2 linked regions of the Tribolium castaneum genome follow. The protein of the gene in region 2 interacts with the protein of the main gene of each other region in a biochemical or structural test. Links are inferred from orthologs where the notes say so. Each region holds a gene or a part of one and is shown on either strand. Other genes may lie near its edges.

Region 1 (4,446 bases), on a different chromosome or scaffold from region 2:
TAAATACCGCCCCTAATTCTGATAAATTTTATGTGGAACTTAAATGAGATTAATGTAACAAATGTAAAATGAGCTATTCTTTAAGAAATCAATGCGAGGAGTACGTAACGGCTTACAGAATAGCTCGCTAAATCTAATGTAGATGTGTAGATTATACCAGTTTAGATGAAGTAAACTGTATCGTGTTTTGAATAAATATCGCATATGACAAAACATCTCTCGTTAATTCCCTTATTAATATGATTTTAAATTTCTAGTGCACTTACATCTCTCTAGCAGGTAAAGTATTAAACCTTAACATTTTAAACATCAATTAAACTGCGCTAATTCAAACGTTAAACCTAATTTATTTTAATCCTAAACACACTGCATGCTATTATTTTTATTTAAACGAATTATACATCCTTTAAATAAACGATTATTTTAGTTATAGTTTAAGATCACGATGTCATGTAATACACATTTTTTGTTTCAAAATCCTATTAATATGATTTTTGTTACGTGTAGTTATTACATGACTGAACAAATTTTACCTTTATTTTTGTAACTAACACATTTTATTACTGTTTCAGGTATATGACCCTCGGCTCCTCGTGGCAGTAGTTCTTAGTAAACAATACACCTAAAGAAATGTGATATTAACGGCTGTGATAATAAATTCTCAATAAATAATGCATTTTTATTAATTTGCCTTCAGATCCAAACAAGCCCATTTTATTTTAATTATCTAATTTCATTTTGTCCACTTTGCATTAAAAAAATCACATTCACACACAGACAAAATAAAAAAAAATTGTAAATACACTTTAATATTATTTGCTTGTCTACATCTACTACGAAAAATATTTTTTCAATCCGCATATTAATTTGATAATAAATTATAATGTGAGATTTATATTTGATAAAAAATACCACCAGGACAACCAAATTAACAAAAAAAATTGCTCAGAGCATAATCGGTGGACTTGGGTTTTAAAGGTCAAGATTACATAAATGATACGGTAATAACTGAGCAGTACATTTCTCATGCAAAATTTCATATTTACTGGATGCACATAGTGCCATGAACCAAGTGAACAATAAAAAAAATCAAAAATTAATTTTTGTTATAGCTTTACAACTTGTTTAAATATAAAAAAATATGGATTTATAATTGAATATAAACGTGTTACGAAGTAGACACAAGACGGTATCGGTATCTGAACTTTGATCTAATAGAGATTTTAAATATTCCAAAAAATTTTAGTTATATAATGATGCGATAAAGATTAATTGTCACTAGAATTTTGTCACCAACATAGAGCCCTAAACAGTATGAGAACTTTATTGTTGAACTTTTTATTTTGTAAATAATCCGTAAATTAAATAATACATGTGAATACTCCAGATACAAAGCGTTTTGGTTGTTACACAACAATTTTAGCCCTTTGCTCTGTTATGCGAACGATTTCGTCATTTTCGGTTCTACAGCTGGCAACACTGCGGGTCAAAGTCGACGTGTGGCGAATCTACCTTTTAGTAAATATTCCGAAATTGTGTTCCTTTGCGTTAATTTTTATTTGATATTTTAACCCTTCAAAATGGCTTCGTACATTGCAAGAAACATAGTTAAAAGCCCTGCAGCCCTAGGGCTAACCCAGCAACAATTTGGTAAGTAGTTTAATTAAAATCAAATTGGCGGTGCAATGTTCTGAAAAAGTGCACGTACAAAGTTCAAAAACCGTGATTGCTTTTCAGGAAATTTGAGGGCCTTTTCTGTCGGAACGCAATTAAACAGCAAGAAAACTGTTCCAGACAGAACTGGAAAGAATATCGTTTTGGTGGATGGAGTCAGAACCCCATTTTTAATGTCTGGAACAGACTATTCCAAACTGATGCCACATGACTTAGCCAAACAAGCCTTAGCGTAAGAAATTCGTAACCCCAGTTGGCCATAATCACAATTTTGCCATTTCAGTGGCATTTTAAAAAAGACTGGTGTTCCAAAGGAAATGATTGATTATGTCATCTATGGAACGGTTATTCAGGAAGTCAAGACTTCAAATATTGCGAGGGAGGCTGCCCTTGCAGCTGGTTACAGTGACAAAACCCCCGCTCATACCGTCACAATGGCTTGCATTTCATCAAATGTGGCCATGACTACAGGTACAAAAAACAAAAATTAAATGGTTTAGTTTAATTAATTTTTTTTCAGCCATTGGGCTTATTGCAAGCGGTGTTTACGAGCTCATCGTGGCAGGAGGTGTTGAATTCATGTCTGATATTCCCATTAGGCACAACAGAAAAATGCGCAGCTTGATGCTCCAAGCCAACAAAGCCAAGACTTTGCAGCAAAAATTGGGGCTTCTGGCGAGCATCAGACCTGATTATTTCGTCCCAGAGGTAATTACGTAAAAATCTGTTAATTGATTGTAAAGTTTGGGTTAGTTGCCAGCTGTTGCCGAGTTTTCTTCTGGCGAAACCATGGGTCACTCTGCTGACCGTCTCGCAGCTGCCTTTGGGGCCACTCGTAGAGAACAAGACGAATTCGCTCTTAGGTCACACACTTTGGCGCAACATGCATATGAAAGTGGCCACTTCACCGATCTTATCCCAGTCAAGGTAATGAATAAATTAATTTAAAATTAAAAAAAAAATCTAATTTTCTTGTAGATCCCTGGAATTGATAAAGTTATTGAAAAAGATAACGGAATCCGTGTTTCCACCCCAGAACAACTGGCCAAACTTAAGCCTGCATTTATTAAACCACACGGTACCGTCACAGCAGCCAATGCCTCATTTTTGGTAAGTTTAACATCCTATTTGCTTTCGATCATCAACTGAATTTTTGATCAGACTTGTCTGTGATTTTTAAATTACGTTGGCATTGTTGACAGGGACTGCATACTTTTTTCATAATTTTTCCAGAAGCAGTTATTACTTATTAGCGTGATTAAAAAAAAATCAAAATAATCAAAAAAATAGCATGATAAAATTGACAACGTTGTAGGAGTGAGACTACAGGTAAAGTGTTGATAAAAAAAGCACTTGTATTATTAATAACTATTTTGTATGCCTTCGTGCGCTTTTCTGCCATTTCATTTTCAAAAAGGGAATTCCACACGATTATGTTAGTGAAATGTCAAAGGTGCCCGAATTTTTTTGCTCGTCATTGTACGAAAACGGTGATTATCATAATTAATCAAGCGGAAAAGTTAAATAATAAAACCTCGAACATTATTGTTTAATTTAATTAGTAATTAATAATTACAATACATTTTTCCCTCACTTTTCACTAGTTTATCATTCTCAGAAAAAGAATTCTAATTTTATATTAATAATAAATTCTAATTTCATATGATAATGATCGCATGGTATTTAATGGCAAAAGCGAATTTGTTTCTGGATGAAAAACAAAATAAGGCGCTCAAAAACGGCATCATTCTCTTTATTTTTGGATCAATTAAATGATTATTAGATTATTGATAAAACTGTGATTGTTAATGTTGCTAATTTAATTTCAACTTCAGATGCTGGTTTTATCAGAAATTGACTTCAAGTAATAATTATTGTTTTTCTCAGACTGACGGTGCTTCCGCTGCTATTGTTACAACGGAAGCGAAAGCTAAGGCTTTGGGCCTGAAACCCAAGGCCTATTTGCGGGACTTTATCTACGTTTCCCAAGACCCTATCGACCAACTTTTGCTAGGACCAGCCTACGGCACTCCAATTGTATTAGAAAAAGCCGGGCTTACAATGAAAGACATTGCTGTTTGGGAGTTCCATGAAGCTTTCGCCGGCCAAATTTTGGCAAATTTCAAAGCCATGGACAGTGATTGGTTTGCACAAACTTATATGAAGAGGAGCAGCAAGATTGGGGCTCCTGACATCAACAAATTCAACAACTGGGGAGGATCGCTTTCTATTGGACATCCCTTCGCTGCCACTGGAATCAGGCTGGCTATGCACACCGCTAATAGGCTTGTGAAAGAGGATGGACAGTTTGGAGTGGTTGCTGCTTGCGCAGCTGGTGGACAGGTAAATAATAGTTTTGGAATTTATAGAAATATGTTTAATTGTTTTTTATTCGCATAGGGTGTGGCCATGATTTTGGAAAGACATCCTGAGGCCACCGCAAATTAATACTTTTTATATTTATTTTTATTTTTCCCGCAAGTGTCCTTAAGTTTTCATCAGTACTTTTATAGTCCCTCCAACTCCTCTAGAGAAACAACTGTACATAGCTTTTCTATACATTATTTAATTAATAAAAAAGGTTCTTTTATAATGTAATATAATCAATAATTGTCAGAAATATATTCTATACATGCTCTCCTCACGTTGTGCTTGCCCAACCTGTCGAACTACCAACATCCTGAATGTGACTCTTGACTGCCTCATCCAAAATACTTTTAATGTCTTTACACCCTTGTAAAGCCTTGTCTAAAACCTTCTGTAAGTGGTCCA
Region 2 (4,529 bases):
ACGACGATTCCGAAGAAGTGTCTCTCTGTGACCGCTTTCTCGACTCTCTTTTTACATGTTTCGGTAACTTGTTTTGCTGTTGGGATGGCCCCTCATACACCGACGTCCAAGAAAGGAGCAACGAGCGCCAAACTCCACGAGGAGTCATTACAACTTCAAGTGTACTTCAAGAGCTGCCTCAAGTTCATCAAGCGACCACCAATGCGGTACAAATTTTACCTTCCCTGCCTCGTAATTGATTAATTATTACAAAAATTTAAGGCGTTTTACCGCGAACAAGCCCAACAGCATTTAGAGAAGAAACGCGAATTGAATCGGAGGGCTCACCAGTATAAACAGGAGGGGAAACACAGGCTTGCCCATGATTGTTTTGAAGAAGCAAAAATACAGACGAAACTGCACGATGAAGCCAACAGTCGGGCAGCTGCTGCATTTTTAGAAGAAAATTACAGGAAATATCCAAGTAATGATACAATTGATTTGCATTATCTTTACGTGAAGGAGGCGATCCGGGCCTTGGATATTTTTCTGGACGATCAAATTTCACACTTGAGGGACGATAGTTTAAACTCGAAAGGGCTCAGTGTTATCACAGGGCGAGGGAAGCATAGTGAGAATGGGGTTCCCAAAATTAAGCCAGCTGTTATTGAACGATTGCAAGCAAGAAGGCTTAAGTAAGTCGTTCTGTTGAATCAAATAATTATTGTCAAGTGGACTGTTTTCAGGTTTTCGGAAGTCAATGCGGGCTGTTTGAAAGTCTATATTTGTAAAACTTCACCTTTAACCAATGATCTAAGTTAGAGAGGCTCTTTTATTTTACCAAAGACTGAACAAAGATTGTGTTAGCGTTTTTATTTTGTCAATGTAATCGTACATTATTATTTAACCGTATTTTTGTAATACATTTTTTACTTTGTTATTTTTATAGTTTTTTCAAATAAATATTTTTTGTCTCAACGTTTTTGTGTTTTAATTAACATCGTTTTCAGTTTCACTAAAGCAATACGTTACCTGTTAGCGTTCTTTTGAAATAATTTCTGCTATTATTTTTTATTACATTATAAATTATTCAAAGTATAATTAACTTTACCAAAGTTTCGACTTTGAACAGATATAAAAGTTGCCAATAAAAGATTGATTGAAGCATTTTTTGCAAGAGTGCAGTCTGTGAAGTGAGTTTATTTGTGCCAATTATTTTTTTAGTTTGTCGTTTTATAAAAAAGGTAAATTATTGCCAGTCTACGAGTTATGGAGATATAACTAATACGTTTTTTTGCATAGAAAAAAATATAAAGTACTCTGAATTCTGTGATTATTTGGTTTAAACATACATATAAAAAAATATACTTTTTACTGGGGTTGAAAAAAAAAACAGCAAAAAATTGTAATGTTATGCAACCATAATTGCGGTCTTGCATGCTACGTGGAGTATTTCTGTTCATATGAGATGATTTTTGCAATTTAAAAAAAATTAAGTTTTTGTAACTATAATGGTGTGCATTAGATTTTTCCTGAAATAGTTTTTTCGGCGTTTTTATTAAAATTTTTCAGTTAGATCTAGTGTTGCCATCTATGCAACCGTTTCAAAGCCACTACAGAATTCTGTTTCGAAGCGTCAATGTCAAACCCACATGATCAAAAGTCATGAATGCATAAAATAGTTATCCAACTGGGCAAAGTTCATTACTCGGCTCATTTTGAAAAGCTGGGGAAGTGTAGGGAGTGTTGGTGTTTGTAGTTGCTCGAAAATTCAATTAAAATTGGAACCATGTCGACACTACGGTTTTTTGGGGCCTTATCGAAAATTTCCCGTACTAACATAAAGTTTAAGAACACAGGTAACCTCAATTTTCTCTAAACGAATGCACTTTGATGTGTGCACTTTGCACCTGAATTGTTGAATATTGCTAACAGGGGCCTTTTCAGCACAAATCCGCGGCATGGCCTCACAGGAGAGGAAGCACACGAAGCTCAAAGTTGTGGATAATATTGGAGTCATAGTCTTAGACTCGCCAGGAGTCAAAGTGAGTATTTAGCGTAAAAATGGCACGAGCGATGTGTTTATCAATTTTTTCCCAACTTATCACGCTGTTCTGGTAACAAGCTTATTTATTTGCAAAAGCGTCTCAAACCGTGCAATAAAACAAAATTTGACAGTATTTGTCAACAAAATTTTGATTTTGATTTTAATGAAAATGAACGGGAAAGTTCTCGAAATCGGTTCCACAATCAACATCGAGCGAAGTGACGGTAGAGTGCATCCGGCAATCGTATCCAGCATTAACTACGAGCTGGACATAGTCGGGGTTGAGTGGTTTGAGGCAGGTGAAACCAAAGGCAAGGAAATCGACTTTAATTGCGTCACCAGACTAAACCCTCACATCGCCGCTATAAAGCCAGACGTTCAGAGATTCAGTGAGTGTTCCTCTGACGTTGCTCTAGTCGAAAAACCGAAAAAACGCCAGTCTATCGCCGTGTACAACAATCGCGTCAAATCCTCCAAGTCGAGAATCACCCAAGACATCGTTAAGCCGAAAAATTCACTCAAAGACAAGTACCCCCAAACCTCGCGGTCCGTAATCGAGCACATCTCCAACTCGTTCGAGAGCAATGTGGTCAAGAAAGTGGGAAAACTGGAGCTCGAACGCATCGAGCGCCGCAAAAAACAGGCGGAATTCAAAGCGGAAAAAGTCGAGCTGACCAAACGTAACGCCGATAACCCCCATTGGGAATTGCACCAAATGATCCACGATTACTGTAAAAACCTGAACTATAAACCTTTGACGATCAATGATGTAATAGAGGACCGTCTCATAACAGTCTGCGTCCGCAAGCGACCTTTGAACAAGAGCGAAAACGCGAAGAAAGAAGTCGACGTTATAACAGTGCCCAGCAAAAACCAAATCATCGTTCACGAACCCAAAACCAAAGTCGATCTCACCAAATACCTCGAAAACCACTTATTCAAATTCGATTACACGTTCAACGAGCATTGCGACAACGAAATCGTCTACAAATACACGGCGCAACCACTCATCCGGACGGTTTTTGAGGGCGGTTTCGCCACGTGTTTCGCATACGGACAGACCGGATCCGGGAAAACGTACACAATGAGCGGCGATATTTTCCGAACGAATGCCCACAAGGGAATTTATGCGATGGCTGCGACCGACGTTTTCCGACTTGTAGCGTCCCCAAAATACCGGCATTTAAACTTGATTGTAACGTGCAGTTTCTTCGAGATTTACTCGCGCAAAGTGCTCGATTTGTTGAACCGTAAAGGCGATTTAAAAATCCTGGAAGACGGCAAGCAGCAGGTCCAAGTTGTGGGCCTCACCGAAAAGGTTGTGTCCTCAGTTAATGAAGTTCTGGAGTTGATTAATCACGGGAATATGGCCAGGACTTCGGGGCAAACCTCGGCGAACGAAAACTCCTCGCGTTCGCATGCCGTTTTCCAGATTTATTTGCGTCCGGCGAAGAAATTTAATTCGCTGCATGGAAAATTCTCTTTGATTGATTTGGCGGGGAACGAGCGCGGGGCCGACACTTTGTCGTCCACTAAGACAACGCGAATGGAAGGGGGCGAGATAAACAAGTCGCTTTTGGCTTTGAAGGAGTGTATAAGGGCCCTGGGGAGGAAAGGGGCTCATTTGCCGTTTCGGTTGAGTAAATTAACGCAGGTTTTGCGCGATTCGTTCATCGGGGCCAATTCGAAGACTTGCATGATTGCGATGGTGTCTCCTGGAGTCAGTTCGTGCGAAAATACGTTGAATACGTTGCGGTACGCTGACCGGGTTAAGGAGCTAGGGGGCGGCGAGTTGCAGCATTTGTCGACGATTAATGAGAAAAATAACGAGATTATTTCGATGGGGTTGGAGGAGGAGAAGAGTTTCTCGGATAATTCCGAAGAGTTTAAAATTGTTAAAGAAAAAGTTGTTAATCTACACAGAGAGATTATTAGTAAACTGCAAGATGCGACCAAGGAGGCCAAGTATTTGAATAAGTGTATTGACAACGAACCGGAGAAGTACTGTCGGGAATTCGAAGAGTTTGTCGACGATACTGTGGCGTTTTTGTTGAATGTTAAAAATAGTGTCATTGAATATAAAATGAAGCTGTTGGCCGAAGAATGATTTTTTGCAATAAATTGTCTGGCAAGAATTCCGTTTTCGATTTATTTGAGTATAAGTTGTGTGATTGTTATTGTAAAACACTGAACAAAAGAATTACGAAAATTTGACAAAAATACGATATTCCCAAATCAAAAAATTAATGTTTTGTGTTGGTAAAAAGCTGATATTTTGATTAGATTATAATCGTATCGAATAAATGCATAATAAATTTATAAGTAATGAGATCATATTTTACATTTGATTTTTTGGCGCAAAAATACTTTCCTGATTCACTTTTCATGATTTATGAAAATAGTAACTGGAGTAAGTCAATAAAAAAGTTTTTAATGAAATTGTAAAATTATTTAATAAATCAAGGCAAGGTGTCTGGTTATTTGCTACCATCGGTTAAAAATA

The links.
Region 1: the proteins of Mtpalpha (region 2) and Mtpbeta are reported together in a solved structure, tested with the Homo sapiens proteins (2 studies listed by IntAct, with this or other methods). The link is inferred for Tribolium castaneum from reciprocal best matches to the Homo sapiens genes HADHA and HADHB.

The regions. Positions count from the first base shown.
Region 1 is NC_087396.1:13,485,789-13,490,234, reverse strand, and holds Mtpbeta (trifunctional enzyme subunit beta, mitochondrial), read left to right. Parts: upstream 1-1,453; 5' UTR 1,454-1,580; coding exon 1,581-1,650; intron 1,651-1,737; coding exon 1,738-1,906; intron 1,907-1,957; coding exon 1,958-2,145; intron 2,146-2,194; coding exon 2,195-2,382; intron 2,383-2,427; coding exon 2,428-2,601; intron 2,602-2,652; coding exon 2,653-2,784; intron 2,785-3,561; coding exon 3,562-4,017; intron 4,018-4,074; coding exon 4,075-4,122; 3' UTR 4,123-4,312; downstream 4,313-4,446. Other genes in the region: Ski6 (exosome complex component RRP41), read right to left, coding at 4,316-4,446. UniProt on the Homo sapiens protein: Mitochondrial trifunctional enzyme catalyzes the last three of the four reactions of the mitochondrial beta-oxidation pathway.
Region 2 is NC_087398.1:2,394,659-2,399,187, reverse strand, and holds the start of Mtpalpha (trifunctional enzyme subunit alpha, mitochondrial), read left to right. Parts: upstream 1-1,628; 5' UTR 1,629-1,768; coding exon 1,769-1,838; intron 1,839-1,926; coding exon 1,927-2,024; intron 2,025-2,094; exon of another isoform or gene 2,095-2,189; coding exon of another isoform or gene 2,190-4,133; exon of another isoform or gene 4,134-4,161; intron 4,162-4,529. Other genes in the region: kinesin-like protein Klp10A, read left to right, coding at 2,190-4,133. UniProt on the Homo sapiens protein: Mitochondrial trifunctional enzyme catalyzes the last three of the four reactions of the mitochondrial beta-oxidation pathway.